Rattus norvegicus: one gene and its partners. The protein of the gene in region 2 purifies or fractionates together with the protein of the main gene of each other region. This does not show direct contact. Links are inferred from orthologs where the notes say so. Each region holds a gene or a part of one and is shown on either strand. Other genes may lie near its edges.

Region 1 (3,500 bases), on a different chromosome or scaffold from region 2:
AGAGCACTGACTCTTCTTCCAGAGATTCTGTAAGATCTGATGCCCTCTTCTGGTGTCTGAAGACAGTGACAGTGTACTCATAAGAGCACTTAGTACTTGTACATTGGACCTGTGTTCTGTTTTCGGCACTCACACAACAGTTCACGACTGTCTGACTCAGTCATAAGTGATTCAAGGTCCTCTTCTGGCCTTCATGGGATAGTGCTACAAGCATAAGCTGCACATATACATGTAGACAAACATCCATGTAAATTAAAAATTATACATCACAATTTTAAAGAGTGTATCAGGCAACTTTTATGGGGGTTAGCCAATTTATTGATCATAGCTTAAATGTGCTTTTCTCTTCCAGGTACTTTTTGACCATGTTGGTTGTTTAAAGAAATATGACACTGTGTTGGATATTCTAAGAGACTTCTTTGAGCTCAGGCTTAAATATTATGGATTAAGAAAAGAATGGCTTCTAGGAATGCTTGGTGCAGAATCTTCTAAACTGAATAATCAAGCTCGCTTTATATTAGAGAAAATAGATGGCAAAATAGTCATTGGTATGTAAATATCTATACCTAAATGTTGGGGACCGGTCTTCCTGGATCGTTTATTATTTGAAAAGCTTTAGTGGTACTGGGGCTCAAATATAGGGTCTTGTACTTGCTAAGCCTATATTCTGCATTAGCTTCATCCCCCTAGATTGAACATTGAAGAAATCTATACTCAGTTAATGTTTACACAGAATCTAGAGAACTAAAAGACCTTGTGTATGGCTGGGGTGTAGCTCTCAAAGTGGTAGAATGCTTTCCTGACATCCACAGATCCTAGGTCCAACCCCAGTCTCTGCATCAGCTTCATGTGTTAGTGCATGCCGTGATCCCAGCACTCAGGCGTGGGAGGGTGGGGGAGGTGGGGGGGGAGAATCAAGGCCAGCGAGCACATGACCCCTGTCTGAGAAAAGAAATCTTGTATAGCTAAATTGATCACAAGAAGAGACACTGATTTGCTCTTAAAATGAAGGAAGGTTATAAATGCCTTATAAGCACGGAAGACTGGAAAATGGCAAATCTTAGTGATGTTTTATCTTTTGCTTTACTGGAAATTTCATAAGCAATTAAACAGGGTTTAAATGAGTAGGAAGAGTCTTGACTGAAGCTGAATATAAGAGGAAGATTAGGGGTTGGAGAGATGGCTCAGTGGTTACAGCTCTTATTTATAAACAGCCCAAGTTCAGTTCCTAGCACCTACGTGTTGTTTCGCTATCATCCATAACTCCAGTCCAAGGGAGCTGCTGCCCTCTTATGGCCTGCATGCGCACCAGACACACATGCACAATAGGTACATTGCCAGTGATTTTGACTGACTTTAAAGCATGATGGTCTGCAACAGACACTGAGAGAACCGCTGGAGAAAGGGAACAGACGTGCCCCGTGCTTCTGTAACTAAGAGATTCAAGCTCTGTGCAAACTGCCCTAAAACCTGATGAAGTGTTGAAATAAAAGCCAGAAAACAGGATTGAGTTCCAGGCTCTTCAGAAGTGGAAGTTTTCCTTCTATTTTAAGATTATGTAGATTACTGTCTCCTCTATGGTCTAACTGGAACTGTCCCATGGTAATTCCTTTGTCCTGGCTTACAGAAACTTGTCTGTTCTGCAGAAAAATGTAGGCAAATCATAGTTCTGCAGGGAGGAAGGTTGGGGTAGGGGAATTGTTGGTTTGTTTTTCATGGCAGGGTTTCCCTGTGTAGCCCTGGCTGTCCTGGAACTCACTCTGTAGACAAGGCTGGCCTCAAACTCAGAGATCACCTGCCTCTGCCTCCTGGGTGCTGGGATTAGATTCGAGGGCTGCCACCACCTGGCTCTAATTTTCCAGTTTTAATCTTTTGACTTAACAACGTAAAAATAACTTGTTTTTCCAAATCTTACTCAAAGCTTTCTCTCTTTTTAAATAGAAAATAAACCTAAGAAAGAATTAATTAAAGTTCTGATTCAGAGAGGCTATGACTCCGACCCTGTGAAAGCCTGGAAAGAAGCTCAGCAGAAGGTATTTCCTCCCTCTCTGTCAGCCCTGCAGCTCCACATGTGCTTGTCCTGCTTACGATCCTGCTGTGACACTCACACAGGCAGAGCATCACACACAGAAAGAAAATAGAAAAAATACTTCGTTAAAAAATGTAAAATTTGGGGCTGGAGAGGTGGCTCAGTGGTTAGAGCACTGACTGCTCTTCCAGAGGTCCTGAGTTCAATTCCCAACAACCACATGGTGGCTCTCAACCATCTGTAATGGGATCTGATGCCCTCTTCTGGTGTGTCTGAGGACAGTGACAGTGTACTCATATACAATAAACATATAAATCTTAAAAATAAAAAAAGTAAAATTTACTTTCTAGCATTTCTAGAGGTCACAGTACAGAGTAAAGGAAGCTGTGTGTCTGTATTTCATAGTCCGCGTGCAATTCACCCTTCAGGTCCCAGAAGAAGAGGAAAATGAAGAGAATGAAGAGAGCGAGAGTGAAAGCAGCAGCCCTGCAGCGGAGTCTGGACCGACCTTCAACTACCTTCTTGATATGCCCCTGTGGTATCTAACCAAGGAGAAGAAGGACGAGCTGTGCAAGCAAAGGGACGAGAAGGTAAGCTGCTGGTAGGAGGGGTGGTCAGTGTTTAATTTCGTTCTCATGGGAAAATGGTGTTCTGTTTAAAAACGAATGGTCCTTGTACATATTTACTAACCCCATATTTTGGTGATTTTATGAAGGAACAAGAGCTCAACACGTTAAAGAAAAAGACTCCATCGGATTTGTGGAAGGAAGACCTGGCTGCTTTTGTGGAAGAACTGGAGGTTTGCATTTATAAAGCCTGTATTACTATTTACAGCCTAGCAACATTCCCTTTCTTATTTTCCTTATGGATGAGGAGGTGGAGGGGGAGTAGGTGCAGGTGCCCACAGAAGCCAAGGTGCCAGTCTCCCAGAGCTTCAGTTGTGAGTCACCCAGGGTGTGTGCTGAGGACAGAACTCAGTCTTTGCAGCAGTAAGGGCTCCTAACCACTGAGCCATCCTTCCAGCACGAGCAACCTGTCTTTTTATCAAGAAAGTTCTATTGGATAAAAGAAAAAATATAGGAAAAGAGACTACATGACAAAATAATGAAGAGGCTGACTGTGGTAGCCATGTAGACAGCCCTCAGACTAAGGCAGGGACATCACAAGTCTGCGGAGCCTGGGCTACCAAGTGAGTTCAAGTCCAGACTAAACCATAACACAGTAAGACTGTGTCAAAAACCAAGGACTAGGATGTAATAGAATTATAGAGCACTTTCCATACACTTATAAACCTTTGCCCTCTATGCTTTGCACTTCAAAAAATAATAACATGGCACAAAAAATAATGGCATAGCATATGGTGAGTGAACATAAAAGAACCCTGGCTGGGCTGGAGAGATGGCTCAGTGGTTAAGAGCACCCGACCTGGGTTGGGGATTTAGCTCAGTGGTAGAGCACTTGCCTAGCAAGC
Region 2 (4,110 bases):
GGAGACCGTGAGTTTAAATATCCTGTCTTTTTGTAGGACATATGCTAGCAATCACTCTAAATTATGATAAACTGTTAAAAGAGTTCTAGGTTCCAGCTTTGATGCCAATGTACTGACACCCCGGGTAAATCTTCTGTGGTTTCATTTTTCTCATCTGTAAAATGAGGAAGGCAAGATAAACTCAAGCATCTCTTTCAGACCTGGCTTCAGATTTTGCAAGATGCACTCTGGTGCTATGTGAGGCCATCCAGGCTTCTGCCAACGCAGGCTGATGTGATTTCAAGTAAGTTCTAGCTCAAAGGTAAATCTGACACCACCACTTGAACTTAATGCAGCCATCTGCTGGGCTCTTCCTGAGAACCCACAAATTAGGGATATGGATGGGATGGTGTTGGGGGTGGAAGGTGAACTCATTTCAGAAAGGATCTCATCTGCTTGCCAGGGTACAGCTGGAAAGCAAGCACAATCACCGACACCCGCATTCCCTTTGCAGCTAGCGGAGGCGACATTTCTGGCCACAGCTCTGTATTTTTATTTTTTATTTACTTATTTACTTATTTATTTATTTATTTTTTGGTTCAACAGACTCCTTCCCAGATTATTCACAGGAGGGAGGAACCTGCATGATTCCAACAAACATACAAACCTGAAACCGCATAATTTCCCCTCGGAATCTAGTCTTTGAAGAGCAGCCTGTAACTTTCTAAGAAGCGATCCCGTTTTCTAATCAAGAAATCAGCCTCGTGGGATCCCGTAGCAAGACCCTCGCTTTAGACGACCAGGGGCACCGACGCTCTAGGCGACAGTCCCGTTGGTCGGCCCGGATGGTGCCTTTCTAGCCAGGTCTTCCTCTCTATGGTTTGTGCGCGACTTCCGGTGGCGGGACGCGGAACCGCGCACGCGGGAAAAGGTTCCCCGGCACCCCCTCCCCCGTATCCCTATCCCCTCCCCTGCGTCCCCCTGCGCCCACCGCCCTCACTGTGTCGTCGCGAGGCTGCAGTTCGAAGAGGTGGGTGGTCGCGATTCCCGGGCTCCGGGTGTGCATGGGCCCTGCTCCCCCGCGGGACGATTGGGATGGATCGATCCGCGTTCAAATTCGCGGGCAGTGGGCGAATCCATTTTAAAAGAAGGGGGAGAAACGTAGATTCACGGGGGCCTCGGGGTGGTGGGATCGCTGCGATCAGGACACTACCCTCTGAGCGGAGTTGAGGTGCGCTCTCTGAGCCGGTCCCAGGTTCCGCCGATTGTTGCGGTGCCTGTCGGTGGAACGTACCGAGAGGGTGTCGGGTTGAGATGTAAGTGCCACTATAGGCCTGGCTCTGCACCTAGGGTCCTGGGCCTTGGCCTCAGGAGCGCTGCAGAGCCGGTCAGTAAGATTCCCAGGCAGTAGAGAACTTGAGATATTCCAGGCACAGCTACTCATGGGTGATCGGAGTAAGGTGTCGTTTCTTGCTTATCAGTCTCCTTCCCGAATTCAGATTCACACCCTGCTGAACATCTCTACACACCTAACCAGGAATTGGGACCCAGCATCCAGATAAGGGTTCGTTTTTCTCTGGTGCAGCTTAGGGCTGTGTGCTCAGAACACCACGGGCAGGTGAACATGGCAGAGACATTGGAGTTCAACGACATCTTCCAGGAGGTGAAAGGGTCCATGGTGAGAATGACTTGGGCTTTTAATAAAGGCAGAGATGGGAAAGAGTTCTTGTTTTATTAACAAAAAGCTTAACTCTGACTACTCTTTTAGAAACAGTGTATCAGTGTCCGCCAAGCGAAAACATCCGCAAAGTCTCAAGAGTTACATGATACTGAGTTTGAAGAGATTGCATGTGTAGTTCTATCCTAAATCCCTGTGTTAAAAAACCGGGAACTGGAGCCCTTACAGGGTTTCTGACACTAGAGCCAAGCTTTCAAGACTGAAAATCTTAATGTCTCTTGTGTCTTTTGACTTGATTTCACCACAACCTGTTGCCTTTTTATTGATAAAATGGCCAGCCTGTATTATTGTATGGATAAGGGGTTGAAAGGACCCGCTTCGTGTGTATCCTGTTCTGATTTTGGGTCTGTATTTTGGGCAGAATGATGGGAGGCTTCGATTGAGCCGTCAGGGTATCATCTTTAAGAACAGCAAGACGGGCAAAGTGGACAACATCCAGGCCGGGGAGTTGACCGAAGGCATCTGGCGTCGGGTAGCATTAGGCCATGGACTTAAACTGCTCACAAAGAATGGGCATGTCTACAAGTATGATGGCTTCCGTGAATCGGTGAGCAGTCTTGTTCTGTGACCCCCTCTCTTTGTGACTGCCTTGTCTTGTTTATTTTAATCTTCTAGAGACAGTTTCTGTTCCTCTGATAATCATGTCATTGTTCATTTGGGTTCCTCAGAGCAGGGCGGTTGGAGACTATTGAACAAGAAAACCAGTGTTTTCTATATTCAGTACCCGTGTCTTGTGCCTAGACTCCAGAAGGTTTTTTACCACCTTAATTTAGGTGGTGGTTTCCACTTGCTCCTTCTGTCCTGGTTCAGAAATTCTAGCTTGGTGCTCTAGGATTTTGCTTTTCCATTTTGAGCTGCTTTTGAGTTACTTGGTTTTAATATCCACTTTTATCAAAAGATCACCTATACAAAGTTTAGAAACTCAGTAAGGTCATACACGTATCTGGGAATTTAACTTTCTTTACTACACTTAGCCAGAGACCCCAGAAACAAAAGGTTTTTGTTGTTGCTGTTGTTAAAAAAATTTTTCATTCATTAAAAATTATTTATTTTATGTGCATGAGGCTTTGCTAGCATGCAAACCTGTGCACCATGTGCATGCCTGGTGTCCGCAGAGCTCAGAGGAAGGCATTGGATCAACTGGAACTAGAGTTACAGACAGTTGTGAACCACTGTGGGGTGCTGAGAATGACTCCAAGGTCTTATATCAGAAAAAGTTCCCTTAACTGCTAGGCCATCAGGTCTCTAGCACTTAAAGGGTTTTAAGCATAAAGGTTAAGAGAAAAGGCTTGAAAGAAGGACATCCCTGAGAGTAGGGCTGAGAGCATCTGGGTTCTAGAAACTGCCTCTAGTAACAAAGTAAAAGTGTTTTAAAATGTTTTCAGAGTCGGTATACTTAGTTAGCTGTAGTTTCTGAGGAAGACACATTGGTGAACTGAGCTACAGAATCTCAGGACATTTGTGTTAAGGCCCAGAGGTTTAACTGGGACCGCACTTTCTCCTTTTGATTTACAGGAATTTGAGAAGCTCTCTGACTTTTTCAAAACCCACTATCGCCTTGAGCTGATGGAGAAGGATCTCTGTGTGAAGGGCTGGAACTGGGGGACAGTGAAATTTGGTGGTGAGTGAGGGAGATTGAGCTTTGGGGAGAAGGTGGGGTGAAGAAGGGCCTCAGACAGTACCTTTCTTTACTCTTTCCTTGGCTCTAATTTCTTAATTTCAGTCTGTGTGTTTAGCATGGATTTGTCCAGCATGCACGGTCCACCAGACACTGTGCCTGGCTTTGGTAGTTCCTCCAGTCCTCTGTCTTGGTGGGACTGCTTCTGTCGACTCTTGGGGAGGAGCTTGCGATTTGACAAGCTCTTTCCTCACAGGGCAGCTGCTTTCTTTTGACATTGGTGATCAACCAGTCTTTGAGATACCCCTAAGCAATGTGTCCCAGTGTACAACAGGCAAGAATGAGGTGACCCTGGAATTCCACCAGAACGATGATGCTGAAGTATCTCTCATGGAGGTGCGCTTCTATGTCCCTCCCACGCAGGAAGATGGAGTGGACCCTGTGGAGGTAAGGCTTCTGTATATTGGGCTGCTGGACATTGCCGAGTATACTTTGGCCGGCTCGCCTGGGAGCAGAGGCTGGCTGTTTGAATACCCATGTGTGTTCATAGGCCTTTGCCCAGAATGTCCTGTCAAAGGCAGATGTGATCCAGGCCACTGGAGATGCCATCTGCATCTTCCGGGAGCTGCAGTGTTTGACTCCTCGTGGTCGTTACGATATCCGGATCTACCCTACCTTTCTACACCTGCATGGCAAAACCTTTGACTACAAGATCCCCTATACTACAGTTCTCCGTCTCTTCCTACTGCCCCACAAGGATCAGAGACAGATGTTC
Region 3 (4,041 bases), on a different chromosome or scaffold from region 2:
CTGTTCCAGCCCCACTCACCTGGAAAGTAGCTCCAGGAGGCTGAAAGGAGAGACATTTTCTGAAGTTGTGGCCACCAAATAGAGACCACTGTGTCTGATGTGAATAAAATGACGATCATCGTGATACTAAGGCAGAGTTGAGGACAGAGGCATTATTAACAAAAGACCAGAATTGTAGTAATGTAGCCTGCAAGATAGCACCCTGGGGTCTCCAATCGTGATGGTAGAAGTGTGACGCTGGGCGATCCCTGAGACCTAAGACCTGGCCACCTAACGTGTAAAGGTAGCACCTACCTCTCTGAGTTATTGATAGTCTAGAGATGGGGATGCAAGGCTCTGCATCTGGCGTCTTGTCAGTACTCATCTATCTTACTTGGAGAAACGAATCCTTCCTCCTTAAAAGCTTCTTCCTGGTCGACACCTCTGTCTCCTGCGCGGGATACATGTCGGCCCGGAGATCCCCATAATAGATCTCCGTAATAAACCTCGCCTTTGCTCATTACATCCAAAAAAAAAAAAAAAAAAAAGCTTCTTCCTACCAAGCCGCCCTTGACAGGGAGAGATGAGGCACCCACCCACCTCCACAGTTCTAAGCCCCTGCTCGCCTGCCACAGTAGTTACCATGACAACCGGGGACTCGCCTCCCGGCAGTCCCGTCAGCTTCCGGTAGAAGAGCTCGGCCACATCACGACCACCACTATCCCCTCGGACTAGCCAGATGGAAAGATAGTTAAGGAGCAGGCGACACAGACTGGCCTGGTTTCGATTTCTACCCACCTCCCCTATCCCGTCTCCCGGTCCAAAGGATACAGTCTTTATAGATGAGCGGATCCCCCTTGGAAGACAGAATGAAGAACTGGGAAATCATGGCCGTTCTGAAGGATAGACAAGAAGACGGTGAAAGTTGAACCCACCCCGCCTTGCGGACACGGAACAAAAGGCCGCACTGAGGCTGGCGCTTTAAGAAACTCCTCCCACACACACACTCGCGAGCATTAATTTCGAACCGCGGGAAATCGGGTGCCCAACCCAGCAGAATCAGGCAATCTTCCACCGGCCCGCCCCCTAGCTCTCTGTCATTCAATCTAGATTCATCCAGTGATTGGTTAAAGTTAGGGGCCGGCAGCGGTTGGGAACCCCCTCTCTGATTGGCCCGTATTTAGCCGTATGGGTCACATGGGTGACGACGTTTCGCGCCAATTTCGGTTGGAGAGCTACGTACCGCTGCGCGTTCGTTTTCTGCTTCCCCGGAGTGAGACTTCAGAACCATTTAAGTCTTGCCGCACGGTCCCCGGCAGCGATGGCGCTTAAGGACTATGCGATTGAGAAAGGTGATGCTCTATAGGGCTGGGAACGGCGTCCTCGGAGGGAAACTTCTCTACCTACACCTGTTGAGGGGAGCTTGGGTCTTGGGGGGAGCCGAGATCTGTGACTCTGGGGACAAGCTAACTGCACCTGGGATAAGCAATGGGCATTAAGAATGGAGGAAGCAATTCTGCTTGGAAAAGATGATGTGGTTGTGTTAGGGAGAGAACCCAGTGAAGGCCACAAAGAGGAGGGGCGTGCTCGGGGAAGACCAGATGACGTGGAGCCTTCAGTACGGGGTTTGAGGGACTGGGTTACTAGACCAGCCTCTGCGCCTTGGGGCACTAGCAAATTCCCGCGTGCACTCGAGGCGCGCCGGAGCCCAGAGGCGGGGCTTGCTGGACCGCTCCGCTCCGCGATTGGTAGTTTTCGGCCGCCCTCCAAGCGGAAGTAGAGGCGGGCGGAAATGGCGCTACCTGATCGGAGGGCTGTCGTGTGTAAACAGTGTCCTTCCGCGCGGTGGCATCGGAGATAACTGCTCTAGGTAGGGGCGTGCCTGGGATTGGGAGGCTGAGCGCCGGGCGGTGAGCGTTGGCAGTATGGTGAATCCGAGTGGCCCTTTGGAGTTCTGGCCAATCCCCGCACGGCCACCGGTTTCAGGCGGAGGAATCCTGGGTTGTGAGGCGGCTGGAATCCAGGCCCATGTGCTTCTTTGTTTACTAAGAGCGGAAGCAGTGGCGGGAGCCGGGCATGGGGTGCCGAAGGAGGCCTAGTGGCAGACGTTCTGGCGGGAGCCGGAAAAGAAAGAGCTGTACTGTACTGGTAGAGGGAGAACCGAGGGTCTTAGGTCGACTGTGAGCAAGCTGAGAGAATTGAAGAAACTGAGGTTCCTAACTAAGGCAGACACTGGAATTTCTTGAGGGTGGTTAGGTAAGATTATTGTAACTGCCCAGGGACCTATATTCTTCCCTAGGTAAAAACAGACTTGTGAAAGGGAGCACTGCTACTTTGAGAACTTGGTAGATTTGTTTTGAATGTTCATTTAACTAACTAGTTCATAAGTCCCGCCAAGCGGGTTTCTTAGTTTTCCGTTAAGAGTTTGAAATAAAGAATCCAAAAGGGAGAGTGATTGTTTTTAAGTTTTTTTGCTACGTTATTGTTTGTGAGAGCACGTGCGCGTTTGCACGGGCACATCACAGCTTACAGTTGGGTGCTAGACACCCGCAGAACTCTTCCAACCTGTGGGTGGGTCCCAGAGATTGAACTCCAGTTGTCAGACTTGGCGTGGGCTTTACACCTCACTGTCCACAAAGATATTTTATTTCATATTTGTAGAAAAAGTGAAGAAGTTCCTGCAAGAGTTTTATTATGATGATGAGCTTGGAAAGAAGCAGTTCAAGTATGGGACCCAGTTGGTAAGTCTCAGGGTGGGTTATGGGGAGTGGAGTGGTGTGTAAGAACTTGTATAAGGTGCCCTACCTTGTGATAGCAAGAATGGCTATCAGTGAATGACTTGGTTTTGATTGTTTTTATACAAAGTTTTGAGTTCTTCTATGTTTACTTTTGGATTTTCTTAGCTGTTTTACTTGTATTTATTCCTGTATGCTTGTGCTCACATGGGCATGCCATAGCATGTGTGGAGGTCAACAGGACAATTTGTGGGAGTCTCCCACCACATGTGTTTTGAAGAGCAAGCTCAGGTCATCTGGCTAGATGGCAAGTGTCTAACCTGCTGAGCATTCTCATCCATGCCTAGCTCTTGGTTTTTAGGGATAGTCTGTGTGTAGCACAGACCAGCATCAAGAACACCCTATGTAGTTACATAGCTAAGGTTGGCTTTGAGCTCCTCATTCTGTTGTCTTCTAAATCCTAAGTGCTGGGATTGGGAACACCTGTCACTCTGCTGGACACTATTCTGTTTTTCCCCATGGGAGGTAGGCCAGTGACTTAGAAGCGCTTTTGTGGGTGAGGTGAACTTGACTCTAAAGTGTTACTGTCTCTTCCTTACCTCAGGTTCATCTGGCTCATCGGGAACAAGTGGCATTGTACGTGGACCTAGATGATGTAGCTGAAGATGACCCTGAGTTGGTCGACTCAATTTGCGAGAATGCCAAGCGCTACTCGAGGCTGTTTGCTGACGTAGTACAGGAGCTTCTGCCTGAGTACAAGGAGAAGGAGGTGGTGAATAAGGATGTCCTGGATGTTTACATTGAACACCGATTGATGATGGAGCAGCGGAGCAGAGACCCTGGGGCAGTCCGGAACCCTCAAAACCAGTATCCTTCTGAGCTCATGCGTAGATTGTAAGTACCTCTGTGGGAAGGGGCAGGGACTTGCTCTCCAGGGCCTTGTTGACAAATGTTTCTTTCTCTTAGTGAGTTGTATTTCCAAGGCCCAAGTAGCAGCAAGCCTCGAGTGATCCGGGAAGTACGGGCTGATTCTGTAGGGAAATTGTTAACTGTGCGTGGGATTGTCACTCGTGTGTCTGAAGTCAAGCCCAGGATGGTGGTGGCCACATACACTTGCGATCAATGTGGGGCAGAGACCTACCAGCCGGTATGTATACAATAGGGAAAAGAAAAATAGGCCTCTGTTCTCTGTCCTTGAAATTGTCCCACTGATTGTAATCTATCATTTTCTCCCAGGCTATTACAAACATTTTGGTATCCATTTAATTCTTGTTAGCGATTTGATCTCTGGTTGTTTTGACTTGGAATATTTCAAGAGGCTCTTATA
Region 4 (3,079 bases), on a different chromosome or scaffold from region 2:
TTTTGACATAGGTTATGGTTCCGTTGCCCAGGCTGACCTCTAGGCTCCTTGCATTCCTCTTGCCTCAATCTCTGGAATGTTGAATGTACAGGCATGTGTCACCACACCCAGCTTTGTTACTTTGCTTTTGACCTTTACTCTCTTTTCCCCCAAACCAGGGGCATGATGGATGAGGAAGGGAACCAGTTTGTGGCTTATTTTCTGCCTGTGGAAGAGACACTAAAAAAACGAAAGCGGGACCAAGAGGAAGAGATGGACTATGCACCAGATGATGTGTAAGTGGGTTAGGGTTAGGGTTAGTGAGGCTTTAGAATTCAGAAGTATGTTTCCTTTACTCCTCTATAACCAATGGGCTGACTGTGTACCTTCTTCCCAGGTATGACTACAAGATTGCTCGAGAATATAACTGGAATGTGAAGAACAAGGCCAGTAAGGGCTACGAGGAAAACTACTTCTTCATCTTCAGAGAGGGTGATGGTGTCTACTACAATGAGCTAGAGACCAGGTACTCAGCACTGTTGTGGGTTTTTTTGTTTGTTTTTGTTTTTTGAGACCATGAATGAACTACTCTGAAGTCATTTGTACCTAAATATTTGTTTTATGTATCTGAGAGAGCAGCAGGACCCTGCTTATTAATGTAGGCTGGGGGGCTGGGGATTTAGCTCAGTGGTAGAGCGCTTACCTAGGAAGCGCAAGGCCCTGGGTTCGGTCCCCAGCTCCGGAAAAAAGAACAAAAAAAAAAAAAAAAAAAAAATGTAGGCTGGACTTGGCTCTCTGTTCCTAGTACTATAAACCACAAAGAAAATTTTCACACAATGTAGGATGTAAACCTAGTCATTTTTCTGTTCATGTGTGTACATACTGGAGCCAGAGATTGAATCAGCTTTCCTTTGTTGCTCTTATTTTGTGTGCATGCATGAGGAGGTTAGAGGATAACTTGGGTGAAGTTACTCTTTCCTGTTCCCCCATGGCACTTTACCAACTGAACCATCTCCTCCAGGCCTTCAGGTTTTAAATAGTTGACAAAAACTTCAAGAGTGTTACCTCAGAACCTTTCTTTTGAGGGCTGAAAGCTAACTTGTCCTAGGGCCTGTGGTTTGAGTTTCTGTTCAATATGGCTGGAGATGTGAAAACAGACAGTGACAACACCGTTAGTGAGTACTACAATTCAGCTGCAATCCAATGCTTTTCTATTTAAAAGCCAGAAACCCAAATAACTACTGGCTACTCTTCTAGGATGTTTGTTTTTCTTTTTTTCTTTTCTGTTTTTCGGAGCTGGGGACCGAACCCAGGGCCAAGCGCTCTACCACTGAGCTAAATCCCCAACCCTGGCTACTCTTCTAGAAGACCCCAGTTCGTATCCCAGTTCCCACTTAGACAGTTTTGCCCAAAGAATCTGATGCCCTCTTGTGGCTTCTTGGGGTACTATACATACAACATGCAAAACACCCATTCACTTAAAATCTTGAAACAAGAAAAATCCAAAAAACTTAAAAGTTGGGTAAATCAAACCCGTAATACCATCTTTCACGTTCACTGTATGTATACTTTGTTTTCTGGTATGCTGTGGGTCAGATTATTGATAGGGAACTAGGTGTCAAGTTAGACTGGTCCCAGTGGAGCCTAACTCCCCTTCTGCAATTGTCCACTGCAGGGTCCGTCTCAGTAAGCGCCGGGCCAAGGCTGGGGTTCAGTCGGGTACCAATGCCTTGCTTGTGGTCAAACACCGTGACATGAATGAGAAGGAATTAGAAGCCCAGGTAAGTTCTACTGTCCCAGAATACCCAAAGGGAGTGTAGTGAGTGAGGACAGGGTTAGAAGTCTTCCATCTTCTTCCCAATTTGCTGACTCCAGGAGGCACGCAAGGCCCAGTTGGAAAACCACGAACCAGAGGAAGAGGAGGAGGAGGAGATGGAGGCTGAAGAGAAAGAAGCTGGAGGCTCAGGTAAAGGACTGGTCACATCCTGGGAGCCCTGGGAGGGTGGGCAATGGAATCTCACCAGTGCCTACTTCCTCACAGATGAGGAACATGAGAAGGGCAGCAGCAGCGAAAAGGAAGGCAGCGAGGATGAGCGCTCTGGCAGTGAGAGTGATCGAGAGGAGGGTGACAGGGATGAGGCAAGTGACAAGAGTGGCAGCGGTGAGGATGAGAGCAGCGAGGACGAAGCACGTGCTGCCCGGGACAAAGAGGAGATTTTCGGTAGTGATGCTGATTCAGAAGATGATGCTGACTCTGATGATGAAGACAGAGGGCAGGCCCACAGGGGCAGTGATAATGACTCGGACAGTGGCAGTGATGGTGGTGGCCAGCGGAGCCGCAGCCAGAGCAGGAGTCGTAGCCGGAGTGCCAGCCCCTTCCCCAGTGGTAGTGAACACTCAGCTCAGGAAGATGGCAGTGAAGCTGCAGCTTCTGATTCCAGTGAGGCTGACAGTGACAGTGACTGAGCCTCAAGACCTTCTAATGAGGTCAGCACAGACACCATTCTTAGGGCAGGGAAGCACTTTTCTAGTTGTCTGTTTTGTGAGCCCTTTGTCCCTACCCTTCAATCTTTGCTGTTAATAAATCTAACTTCTCTGGACTTCATCTCCCAGAGCTTCTGTTCCCCTTCATGTCATCTTCGCACCCCCACCCCCACCCCAGTGCTCAAGGTTCTCCACTTGAAGCACAAAATCAAGTCCCCATTGGATTTCCCAGGAAGTGCATCATAAATGAGAAATTAGAGTCTTTTTTGTTTTTTGTTTTTGTTTTTTTGTTTTCCAAAATAAGCCCAGACCATTAACAATTGAAACTCCAACAAATAAGTCTTCTCCAACAGCGAGAAAAATGTACAGTTACTCAAAGCTGATTCTGCCAGTGGGGCTGGGGACAGAAGTGGGCAGGGTAGGGTGAAACCACAGAGGGGGATGGAGGGTGGGAGGGTCAGGGTCCTGCCTGTCAGAGTAGGGCCGCCTGCGTCCTGCACTCTGCTGTCAGGTGGGTGGGAAGCTCTCACCTCCCTCTTGGGGAGGATATCCCTCATCACCTTCCAGTGCCAGGCAGAGTCAGTAACCCTGATGGGAAGTGAACAAGACAAGACTA
Region 5 (3,500 bases), on a different chromosome or scaffold from region 2:
CCAGCCCTCAGATGCTCATGCTACAGGGATGAGAAGATTGAGGCCGTCCGCAACACTGTTCTCCACCTGCTGAGTGAGGTGCATGGTCTCAGTGGTCTCTGGTTTCTGTTTGTAGAGGTAGTGAGGGGCTCTTCCTGTGAAGTGGATTTGAATACTGCATTGACTGCATCTAAAGAAGAGGGAACTCTCCGCTACCAGGGTATTCCTCGTGGAACGGCTGCAGCTAGCCAGTTGACCAGTAAGAGGCTAGTGATCCTGGTGTCAGTTCCTCTTAGGTTTTTTGTTTATTTGTTCTGTTTTCTAATCCTATTTTATTGTATGTGTATGGTATTTTGCCTGTATATATGTCTGTGCACCATCTGTGTACAGTGGCAGTGGCAGCCAGAAAAGGGTATCAAAGATGCTATGTGGGCCACAATGCTAGAACTAGAACTTCCTGTGGAAGAGCAGCCAGTGCTCTTAGCTGCTTAGTCGTCTCTCTACCCACCCAGCCAGCCTTGGATTTAGAATGAGAACATGGAGGAAAAGCCATGACCTAGAGCCGCTAGGTTGTCAGGTTCTCCCTTCCTCCCTGCCTTTCTTTATCGGCAGCACCTGGCTGCACCTGGGCACGAGCTTCTGGGGTTAGGACTGAGGTAACGGGCACATGTGTTGTGGTTAAGCCTTAGCACTGGATGTTGCTCTCCCCTGCACTCCTCAGCAGGTAAAAGTCCTGGTGCCTGCCACTGGCCGGTGACCAAAAGGAGTTCTGAAAGTATAAATAGGCAGTGTTTTTGTGTCCATGATGGTAGTGCAGCCTTCCCCAATGCCTCCTTCTCTAGCCTCCCGAGCACTTGAGGCCAGTGCTGTGGGGGAAGAGCCTGGGATCCTCATTCTCTCTCTGCTTTAATCAAGTTCCTGGGCTGCAGTTGAACCAGACTCTTTAAATGTAAAGACAAGGCTTAAGGCATGGGCTTGTTAACAGGTGTTTAAAAACACGATTCTTGTTGCTTTAATTTCATGAATACTGTGTACCTACTGTGTGCCAGCACTAGAAATAAGCATGTTTGAATGAGGTGAACTCTATTCCTGTTTGACAGTACAGTCAGAAAGATAGAATTAAATAATGACTCCTCTAAAAATATTTACTCTTGGGGGAGGGGTGTTGGTCGGCTCTGGTTTGGTGTTTTTTGGTTTTTTTGAGGCATAGTTTCTCTGTGTAGTCCTTGCTGTCCTGGAACTCTCCCTATAAGCCAGGCTGGCCTCAAACTCAAAGATCTCACCTGCCTTTGCCTCCCAAGTGCTGGAATTAAAGACATGTGCCGCCACCACCAAGAAAGTACTTCTTACCACACGTAAGAGTAAATGGGAATCCTGCTGGTTTCTGGAGAGAATCCGCTGTAGGGTAGAAGGTGTGCCATGTCTCCTCTCTCTGACTTTCTTCAGCATCTCTTACATAAGCTGTCACTGACCGCCCTGGCTTTCCAGTCTCTTCTCAAAGCAGCCTTGCTGGGGGAGGGTAGCGGCCTGAGCACTGAGAGCCCCTCTGTGATTCTAGCCGTCAAGCTGAACCACCAAAGAAGGAGACCGCCTCTGTGGGGCCACAGGTGAAGCGAGCCGATGAGTGGAAGGACCCGTGGCGCCGATCCAAGTCTCCCAAGAAGAAACTTGGTGTGTCAGTCTCCCCAAGCCGGGCACGAAGGCGTCGCAAGACATCCGCCTCATCAGCTTCTGCTTCCAATTCCTCCAGGTACAGAGGGCACCAAAGACTGTGTCTTGGTGACATTCACTGGCTGCCAGTTCATGTGCATGTGTGTGGTCACTACCCAAGGACAGGCTAGGATTAGGTAGGACTGATACCAAGTATTGGGCCAAGACTTTCAGTGCTCCAGAACTTAGTAAGTAGGACGGGTGACCTAACATGATATAGACACTGGCTGTCTGCCAGAGTCATACAGTCACTCAAGACGGGGAAAGCCTCTCAGATCCTGTGGGAAAGACTCTGGGTTGCTGACGAGGAACTACACACTCTGCTGACCAGTCACCTAGCTCTTGGAGAACTTCCCTTAGTGACTCTGAACTCAGTGTGTGTGCGTGTTGGGTCGGGGGACAGCTGTAGACACTGAGGGGAGGGAGTTCCACAGGAGTCTGGGAAGAACCTCCCAGACAGATCCAGGAACACAGCCATGGGAACACCAGGTCAGCTTGAAAACTCACACTCTGGCCTTCTCTAGCAACTCAAACTAGCCTCTGAGTTACCTGCTCCTCCTGGGTGCCCAGTCCTGGTCTCCACAGCATTGCACTGAGGGTGATGGCACTGCGGTGTCTGTGGAGCTATGCTGTCTCACGGCACTAAAAGAACAGCGGCTCACGCATCCCAGCGCTGCGGTAGTGAAGTAGGCAGTAATATTCTCACTGCCTCTGCTCTGTCCGTCGGTCACAGGTCATCGTCACGGTCTTCATCCTACTCTGGCTCTGGCTCGTCCCGGTCCCGGTCCCGGTCCTCCTCCTACAGCTCCTACTCCAGCCGCTCTTCCAGACGCAGTTCCTTCTCAGGCAGCCGGTCCAGGTGAGTCCCAGCCTGCTTCCAGAATGGTTTTAGTAAACTGCACGCTGAAGAGCAATTTGGACTGCAGGTGCTGGACCAAGGACCTGCACCTAAGGTGTCTCTGTTGAGTGAGTGGCAGGTAGAATATGCAGTGTCCATCTTCCCAGAAAGCCCTAGGAGAGTCAGGCAGGGTCTTCTGAGTTTTCCCCATTGAAGTAGATACTTCTAGAGCTTTAGGCAAAAGCTCTCCCAGCACATAAAGACACTCCGTTCACCCTGACCTGTCCCCACAAAAGCTTGACAGCTTAGGATCTCTGCCAGTGGAAGCTGCCCTTTACCTCAGTCAGGCCGTGCTCAGCGGTCCATCCCTGAACTGAGTTGATGCTACATTGTGTGCCCTCCCTGCACTGCCGTCACCATGAGCTCTTGAGAAGAGGCAAACCTTCGGCATGGTGTTCGGTAAAGTGGAAGTGTTTATCCTGGTCATTAACTGTACACATAAGGCCATGCAGCTCACTGCTTTGGGACATATCACTAGGCATTTTTGTGGGATTAAAATGTTCTCTATTTCCTTAGTGTAATCTGGTCCCTTCCACTGTTACCCCTTCCTGGCATATGGTCTTGCTTTTATTTATTTTATTTTATTTTATTTATTATATTTATGTAAGTACACTGTCACTGTCTTCAGACACACCAGAAGAGGGCATCAGATCCCATTACAGATGGTTGTGAGCCACCATGTGGTTGCTGGGATTTGAACCCAGGACCTCTGGAAGAGCAGTCGGTGTTCTTAACCACTGAGCCATCTCTCCAGCCCTTGTTTTTATTTCTTTAAGGAAATTGAGATTTAATCTCTCTTTGGGGACAAGGGTCTCACTCTATAGCCCTAGCTGACCTGGAATTTGCTATGTATGTATTAGATTAGGCTGGCCTCTAACTCCCACCTGCCTCTGCCTCCTGAGGGCTGGAAGCA
Region 6 (3,500 bases), on a different chromosome or scaffold from region 2:
TATCACACGTTGTAGGGTCTGCCACGAGCTACATCTCCTGCCCTCGTTTTTACTTTTTGTTTTGAGGTAGGGTCTCCCTAAGTTGTGCAGGCTGGCCTTAAATATACTCTGTAGCTCAAGTTGGATCATATATGCCCACTCTCTATGCATATAGATAACGTATACTCACGTGTGTGTGTGTGTGTGTGTGTGTGTGTGTGTGTGTGTGTATGTATAGGAGGAACTTGTTGGGTTGGAGACTTAGAGGTAACTAAGTTTAGCTTTTATATACAATTTTGCTTATTTTCAATAACTGTTCCTTAAATTTGTTTCAAGGTTTTCTTCATGGGAAGATTTTGAGGAAGAACATGGTAAAGGCAGAGAATATGGTTATGCAAGCCTCCACAAGGAGCTTGAGCCATTTCTGTTACGCAGAGTTAAGAAAGATGTGGAAAAATCTCTTCCTGCCAAGGTGGAGCAGATTTTAAGAATGGAAATGAGTGCTTTACAGAAACAATATTACAAGTAAGCCAAATAGAACACAGTTCAGAGTTAGCTGTCCTTGCCCTTGTGGTGCTCTGCATCCCCACATGGATCTTAGAGTAGCAACTCACTCAGTTTTAAAGGACGTTTCTTCTATGGCTAATTAGCAGGGAGCTTTAGGGTTGGGTCCAAGATTAAACCGTGGCTTGAAGGACTTACTTTGATATGTATCGGCCTTTGCTTGCATGTATGTGTGTGTACCATACATGCTTGGTACCTGGTACGCAGGCCAGAGTAGAGCCTGAGATCCACCAGAACCCACGTTACAGATGCTTGTGAACTTCTGTACGAGCACTGGGGGCTGAACTGAGACCTTCTGTGAGGGCAGCAAGGGCTCTTAACCAGTGAGCCATCTTTCCTGCTCCTAAGCCATGTTTGTAACACATCATCGCGAATCCCCCTGCTCATATTTACCTTTCAACCAGCCTGATATATCCAGCAGTTGTGGTAGTTGACAGAGCTAAAGAAGCCTTAGACAGAGTGTTAGCTGCCTCCTCCCTTTTTTGAAGAACATGAACAAGTTATATTTTGTGTAAGTTCCTTGTCAAATTTATATAGTCACTTTTCAAAGGATAAAACCAAAACATGTCCTAACATGTATTGATAGTTACTTGTACAAGGAAATACATCGTGATTATATTTAGCATCCTAAAAAAAGTTAAATTTTATGGTGAAAATCTCTTAACTGCCATGCATGTGGGTTTATTGTGGGTCTTAGGGTGCAGACTGTGACCTCAGTACTTGGAGGTGGTCAGAGAGTTTGAGATTCAAATCCATCCATCCAGAGTACATCGAGTTCTAGGCAGAGCTGGACTGTAGGGTCTGCCCTGCCTCACAAACCTCCCAAGTGCCCGTGACTTAAGTTTGAGTTTGTTAGTGCACTAGTTTCTTCTGTTTCTTCTTCTCAGGCATGTCAGAGGTACATTCATATTTCTTCATGTGTCTCTAATAATTTTTAAAGATACCCATTTATAAAGTTTAACATTTTTTATGTCAATGTTCAGTAAAGCCTTTTCTGTGTTGCCTTAAACTTTAAATTTTGCTTACGTCAGAAATGAATATGATCTTTCTGAGATAATGAAGTGCCTCACTTGTAGGTATCCGTGCCCCTTAAAATTCCTTTGATAAGGAAACAGGTTTCTGAATAAACTTTTCATTGTAGATTTTTCTGGTATATTTTTCTGGAATCTTTAAAAATATCCTTTTTATTTCCTGTAGATCAACTGCTTGTTTAGATTTGGGTTTTTGTTTATGGAGAGAATGTTTTATAATGGAAAAGAGTAATATTAAGTATTTTTTTTTTTTGTAGTGTGGTGAAAATTAGGAAAATTTAAAAATGGAAAAGATTTTGAAACAGTTAAAAGGAGAAAGCATATATAACGCGTATAACTTCTGGGTACTATTTTGGGGTTACTATGGTAATAAAATGTGGCTTTAAATGGTGTATGTTCCCTCCTGCAGGGTTAGGGGTGGGGTAGTGAACACAGTCCTGACTGATGCCCAAATTAGCCTTGAAAGATTGCCATAAATTTGTAAAAATTTTTAGAGTATCTCCTCCAGAAACACAGGAGACATTCTGAGTACAGTAAAGTAAGGTCTCAGCCTGAAATACCTCCTTCAGAACCAAGAATTGTGTATGGACTCCTGTTTGCTTCTAAGTTAAGTCAGGCAAATCCCAAGTAACCAATAATAAAGAGAGATAATAAAAGAATACCTAGATAGTGTGGGATTTTTAATATTCTTCATAAGGTAAATTTACGAGAAAGGAAGTTAACAATAGGTAATTAAAGTAGGTTTTGAGAGAAGAATTGTGTGTGGTTTGAAGTGATGTTCAAGTTGCATAGGTATCACATAACTGCAATTTAGAGAGGACAGTATGACCAAACCAGGTATTCATGAGACTGGAAAAGATGTGGTTCTAATTACTTGTCTGCTGGAATGAAATTTCTAAGAAGATTGATACTGTGGACCACTGCTTCCCAAAACTCGAGAAAAGGATTAATGTGTTTATTATGCTACATAAAACCTCTGTATGTAGTCGATGGATCAGACAAGTTATGTGTACTTTTTAAGCCTTCGATGTGAGGTTCAGTCCATCCTGTATGTAACCAGGAACTTGGGAAGGGTGAAGTTTCGATTTGGTGTTAGTGTTGTTTTTAAGCTTTCAGAATTTATCTTGGTGATGATCTGCTGAATGTTGTTCATGTGACTTTTGTTTTTGAAGGTGGATTTTAACTAGGAATTACAAAGCCCTCAGCAAAGGTTCCAAGGGCAGTACCTCAGGCTTTTTGAACATTATGATGGAGCTAAAGAAATGTTGTAACCATTGCTACCTCATTAAACCACCAGATAATAACGAATTCTATAATAAACAGGAGGCCTTACAAGTAAGAATTTTTAAGTATTTCTTTTGGTAAAGCAGAATTCTAAGAATATGTATTTCAGTTTTAGCTTAAAGACAATACAGTAATATATTCATTGGAAGTTCTCTTTGGCTAATGTTTCATTTAAATAAGGTCTGGTTATTATTTGTTTTTATGAAAGCTCTTAAAATTATAATTTATAAACATAATCTTTCAAGCCAGTGGTCTGTAGTGGTTTATCAGACAAAATCTATTCGTGTGTTATAGATTATGATATGACTGAATCTGACTGTAGATCAGTAGATATGACTGTGACCTGAGGGAGGCCTTGCCTCCACAGCTGCTACCCCTCTCTTACCGTTGAGAGGCAGCTCAGACGTGAAGACACTTGGAATTCAGTCATAGTAGTTCAGTGAGGGGTGAGGATTCCCGAATTAAAAAAGAATATGTTTGCTTGCTCTTTAAAGAATTGTTTGTTTAGTTGCTTTTTTGTTTTTTAATATCTGTTTGCTTTTGGCTAAGTCTCGGAGAAATAGTGTAAGAGCTGGCAAGTAGAATGATACAGCAAAAATAATAGTCTAGTTATGCATGTTGGGGCGGGTTTAGTTTATGTAG
Region 7 (3,500 bases), on a different chromosome or scaffold from region 2:
CAGGACAGTCAGTCGGCAAGAGATATCTGGGGCACAGTGAAAGACCACATCCACCCATGGACTGGGAGAAGAAGGATTTCATTCCAGAGGCAGGAAAGAAAGCATTGCTGATAGTTGAAGCAGAAGGTCCTTGCTGTGTTGTGCTGTAACGGAAGGCACCAGAACTGACGTGTAGAGCCTTAGGCCAGCTCTTCAGACCCTCGGAGGGCGGGCTCCTTTACTGTAGAGTGAGTGAGGAGCAGCTGCAAAGGATGGACTGCACCTAGTCCTAGGTAAAGGGAGGACCGGGCTCCACCCACCATCACGGACCTTACCTTACATAACAAAGCACACACCTTTCAAGAATTACTCTGAAGGTTAATGCTCTCAATGCTGCAGTTCAAGGTCAGATCAGAGATGGTTTAACAGTGAAGAACAATTATCACTTACAGAGAACCAGAATTTGATTCCCAGCCCCCACACTGGACAAATCACAACTGCCTGTAGCTCCATCCCCAGGTATCAGCGTCTCCCAGGCGCACGTGCATGCACTAGCTGATACACTGCGCATATGATTCTATGTGTGTGTCTGCACCTAGTGCCTGAGGAGGACCTCAGATCCCCTGGAACTAGAGCTACAGACGGTTGGGTTGTGAGCCACCGTGTGGGTGCTGAGAACCAGACCCAACAAGAGTAGCAAGCCCTCTAGACCACTGCACATCTCTGCTGTCCTTAGATAATCTTTAAAGTGTGGATTCTTTTTTGAGACAGAGTCTCACTAAATAGCCTTGCTGGCCAGGAAGTCCCAGTGTAGAACTCCTAGCGATCTGCCTGCTTCGGCCTCTGCAATGCTGCGGTTAAAGGCCTGTACTACAACAGTAGACATGAATTTCTTAGAGAATAAAGAAGACAGATGAACAGGTTGGGTGAGCAGCATCGACTGTCACTTAGTTCCTCAAGGTTGCTCAGCATTAAAGATGTGTGTGACGTAGGTGAGGCGTGCGGAAAGGTGCTCCAGGCCAAGGCACTCACAGACATCAGCCTGGGTGTCCCAGCTATGCCATCTGACTGGTCAGCAGAGAGGAAAGTCCCTCCATCCTGGCCATGGGAGCAGCCTGTCAGGGCAGCAACACAGCAGGAATGGGAAGCTTTAGTGTGTCACTCTGACCAGCGGACAGGCCTATGCAGGTTGGGCCATCCAGACCTGCAGACGGTATATTCATTACAGTGAAACTAGACTAGAACTCAGTGGCAGGAGACCTGGGGATTAGAGAGATGACTGGATGCTGTCTGTGCATGGGCAGTCAAAGGACAACCTGCCAGAGTTGGTCCTCTCTGGGGTGTGGATTCCAGGGATGAAACTCAGATTGGCAGGCGTCTGTGCCTACTGGGCATCACCAGTCCTGGCCTGTGTGTTTCCAAGTTGTGTGTGTGCTTTCAGTGACCGTCCCCAAGGACCAGCTCCTCCTCTCCATAGCTGTGTTTGTCTCCAACTGCAGTGTTTGCCTGCTCTGTTGATGGTCCTCCCCTGGAATCCTTCTGCCCTGCTCGCCCAGTTCCGTGCCAAGTCTCAGCCTGAGCCATGCTGCCTTTCTGCCTGTCTTAGCAGGACTGTAGGCTGTGTGCTCTACACATCTGAGCATCCATTGTATAAGAGCTTGCACGTTGGGGGCTGGAGAGATGGCTCAGCGGTTAGAGCACTGACTGCTCTTCCAGAGGTCCTGAGTTCAATTCCCAGCAACCACATGGTGGCTCACAGCCATCTGTAAAGAGATCCCATGCCCTCTTCCGGTGTATCTGAAGACAGCTACAGTGTACTTATATATAATAAATAAATAAATCTTTAAAACAAAAAAAAAAGAGCTTGCATGTGTGCACCAGTGTGCCACAACATGCATGTAGGTCAGAGAACAATTGCAGAAGGCATTTGTCGTCATCACTGTTGGTCCCCATCATCTCCCTCATCTCCCTCTCCCCTTCCTCTCACTGACTTTTTCTATTTACTTAGATTTATTTGTTTGTTTGTTTGCTTGCTTGACTTGGGTTTGTTTTGTTTTGCTTTTTGGAACAGTCTCATTGTGACCCCAACTGACCTGGAACCCACTGTGTAGACCAGGTTAGCCATGTAGAACTCAGATCTGCCTGCCTTTGCCTCTCCCAAGTGCTAGGATTAAAGGCATGTGTGTGCCATCACACCAGCTCTCATTTTTTATTTTCTTGATAAAGCTATTGTTATCCATATGTCTAAACCAAATTAAGGCTCAATTTTTAAGTTCTTTGGAATAGCAGTAAGACAGATTGTTAAATGATACTTGTGAAGCGACCTACGTGGAAATTTTTAAGAGAGCTTGTTTTCAGTTATTGAGCCAGCCATAGCTTCTCCTCTCTAACATAAGTGACCTAAGTTCTCCACTCATTGACTTGCTCAGCACAAGCATTTCACCGAAGACATCCAGACCCGGCAGTACCGGTCTTTGGAGGTCCTGATAGGATCTGGCTACAACACCCCTGCTGACATCTGGAGCACAGCATGCATGGTAAGCCCTGCCGCCTTCCCTGTTTGCTAGTGCAGTGTGTGACAGCGGAGTGACCCCCCAGCTGCTCACTGGTGACAGTCAGAAAGCAGGGCGGTGTGGGGAACCGACAGTGGCTGTTCTCAGACATTGATGTTCCTGTGTTGTGGGTGACTATTGTCCTTGAACTCTTAGTCTTGATCTGTTTGCAAACTTGGGACAGACGCATGCCACTGGGAAGGCTGATGTCCTCTGCAAGTGAGCCACTCGCCTGTCTGTCAGTCGAGGGTAAAGCCCAGGCAGGCACCTACGGTGCACAGCTCACTGCTCTGGGCGGGGCGGGGCTGGGCGGGGCGGGGCTGGGCTGTTTCTTGATTTTGGTTTTTCCCCTTTATTTATTATACAGTCTGTGCTTGTCAACACCAGCCGGTGGCATTGCTGTCCTGTGAGCTTGCGCTTTGAGCTTGAGCCGAGGCTTTCCCTGCTCATAAGGACCCTGACTTCCCAGGGCAGACAGGTTGAGGACGTAGTCCTGCACCAGTGCCTTTGCTTTGCATGGCGGCCTCAGTCAGCTCCTGCACGGCTGGCTACAAGCACCAGCTGGTGTTTTGTTATCAAAGGCCAGATATAGAGAAGTGCCACACTTCGTGAACTTGGTCACCCCAGGGAAGGTCCCCTGTGTGTCAGGTTTGCACACTTACACTTTAATTGCTGTTTCATTACTCCCACAAGATCAAAAGTATTCAACAGTAAGCAAAGAGAATTAAGGCTTACAGAGGAGAGGAGACGACTCGTTATGTCTGGTGAGGCAGGGGGATTGCCAAGACCATCCTGGGCTACGTAGTCAGAAAAATCTCAGCGTGGTCTGGATTGTAGATTACGTTTCCAACGATTTAAGATTCCAACAGGGAAGGGGGGGAAGGGGATAACATTTGGAATGTAAATACATAAAATGTCCTATAAAAAGATAAGCCGATTCCAGCACAGGGTGGGGCTGCTTGTCTCACA

The links.
Region 1: the proteins of Ssrp1 (region 2) and Top2a fractionate together in Homo sapiens (co-fractionation; 3 studies listed by BioGRID and IntAct, with this or other methods). This does not show direct contact. The link is inferred for Rattus norvegicus from reciprocal best matches to the Homo sapiens genes SSRP1 and TOP2A.
Region 3: the proteins of Ssrp1 (region 2) and Mcm7 purify together in Homo sapiens (affinity purification with mass spectrometry; 4 studies listed by BioGRID and IntAct, with this or other methods). This does not show direct contact. The link is inferred for Rattus norvegicus from reciprocal best matches to the Homo sapiens genes SSRP1 and MCM7.
Region 4: the proteins of Ssrp1 (region 2) and Paf1 fractionate together in Homo sapiens (co-fractionation; 3 studies listed by BioGRID and IntAct, with this or other methods). This does not show direct contact. The link is inferred for Rattus norvegicus from reciprocal best matches to the Homo sapiens genes SSRP1 and PAF1.
Region 5: the proteins of Ssrp1 (region 2) and Zc3h18 purify together in Homo sapiens (affinity purification with mass spectrometry; 3 studies listed by BioGRID and IntAct, with this or other methods). This does not show direct contact. The link is inferred for Rattus norvegicus from reciprocal best matches to the Homo sapiens genes SSRP1 and ZC3H18.
Region 6: the proteins of Ssrp1 (region 2) and Chd1 purify together in Homo sapiens (affinity purification with mass spectrometry; 3 studies listed by BioGRID and IntAct, with this or other methods). This does not show direct contact. The link is inferred for Rattus norvegicus from reciprocal best matches to the Homo sapiens genes SSRP1 and CHD1.
Region 7: the proteins of Ssrp1 (region 2) and Srpk1 fractionate together in Homo sapiens (co-fractionation; 3 studies listed by BioGRID and IntAct, with this or other methods). This does not show direct contact. The link is inferred for Rattus norvegicus from reciprocal best matches to the Homo sapiens genes SSRP1 and SRPK1.

The regions. Positions count from the first base shown.
Region 1 is NC_086028.1:84,449,094-84,452,593, reverse strand, and holds part of Top2a (DNA topoisomerase 2-alpha), read left to right. Parts: intron 1-352; coding exon 353-548; intron 549-1,941; coding exon 1,942-2,033; intron 2,034-2,457; coding exon 2,458-2,619; intron 2,620-2,744; coding exon 2,745-2,828; intron 2,829-3,500. UniProt on the Homo sapiens protein: Key decatenating enzyme that alters DNA topology by binding to two double-stranded DNA molecules, generating a double-stranded break in one of the strands, passing the intact strand through the broken strand, and religating the broken strand.
Region 2 is NC_086021.1:90,530,173-90,534,282, forward strand, and holds the start of Ssrp1 (FACT complex subunit SSRP1), read left to right. Parts: upstream 1-1,310; 5' UTR 1,311-1,478; coding exon of another isoform or gene 1,479-1,603; coding exon 1,604-1,657; intron 1,658-2,078; coding exon 2,079-2,264; intron 2,265-3,232; coding exon 3,233-3,338; intron 3,339-3,591; coding exon 3,592-3,782; intron 3,783-3,885; coding exon 3,886-4,110. Other genes in the region: P2rx3 (P2X purinoceptor 3), read right to left, coding at 647-658. UniProt on the Homo sapiens protein: Component of the FACT complex, a general chromatin factor that acts to reorganize nucleosomes. The FACT complex is involved in multiple processes that require DNA as a template such as mRNA elongation, DNA replication and DNA repair.
Region 3 is NC_086030.1:22,160,379-22,164,419, reverse strand, and holds the start of Mcm7 (DNA replication licensing factor MCM7), read left to right. Parts: upstream 1-1,241; 5' UTR 1,242-1,300; coding exon 1,301-1,331; intron 1,332-1,778; exon of another isoform or gene 1,779-1,849; intron 1,850-2,011; exon of another isoform or gene 2,012-2,235; intron 2,236-2,640; coding exon 2,641-2,720; intron 2,721-3,318; coding exon 3,319-3,608; intron 3,609-3,680; coding exon 3,681-3,861; intron 3,862-4,041. Other genes in the region: Ap4m1 (AP-4 complex subunit mu-1), read right to left, coding at 20-126, 586-710, 811-868. UniProt on the Homo sapiens protein: Acts as a component of the MCM2-7 complex (MCM complex) which is the replicative helicase essential for 'once per cell cycle' DNA replication initiation and elongation in eukaryotic cells.
Region 4 is NC_086019.1:92,814,197-92,817,275, forward strand, and holds the end of Paf1 (RNA polymerase II-associated factor 1 homolog), read left to right. Parts: intron 1-158; coding exon 159-275; intron 276-376; coding exon 377-505; intron 506-1,654; coding exon 1,655-1,760; intron 1,761-1,854; coding exon 1,855-1,945; coding exon of another isoform or gene 1,946-2,020; coding exon 2,021-2,445; 3' UTR 2,446-2,579; downstream 2,580-3,079. UniProt on the Homo sapiens protein: Component of the PAF1 complex (PAF1C) which has multiple functions during transcription by RNA polymerase II and is implicated in regulation of development and maintenance of embryonic stem cell pluripotency.
Region 5 is NC_086037.1:67,376,538-67,380,037, forward strand, and holds part of Zc3h18 (zinc finger CCCH domain-containing protein 18), read left to right. Parts: intron 1-1,537; coding exon 1,538-1,729; intron 1,730-2,422; coding exon 2,423-2,548; intron 2,549-3,500.
Region 6 is NC_086019.1:65,368,216-65,371,715, forward strand, and holds part of Chd1 (chromodomain-helicase-DNA-binding protein 1), read left to right. Parts: intron 1-315; coding exon 316-504; intron 505-2,746; coding exon 2,747-2,909; intron 2,910-3,500. UniProt on the Homo sapiens protein: ATP-dependent chromatin-remodeling factor which functions as substrate recognition component of the transcription regulatory histone acetylation (HAT) complex SAGA. Regulates polymerase II transcription.
Region 7 is NC_086038.1:6,652,836-6,656,335, reverse strand, and holds part of Srpk1 (SRSF protein kinase 1), read left to right. Parts: intron 1-2,408; coding exon 2,409-2,516; intron 2,517-3,500. UniProt on the Homo sapiens protein: Serine/arginine-rich protein-specific kinase which specifically phosphorylates its substrates at serine residues located in regions rich in arginine/serine dipeptides, known as RS domains and is involved in the phosphorylation of SR splicing factors and the regulation of splicing.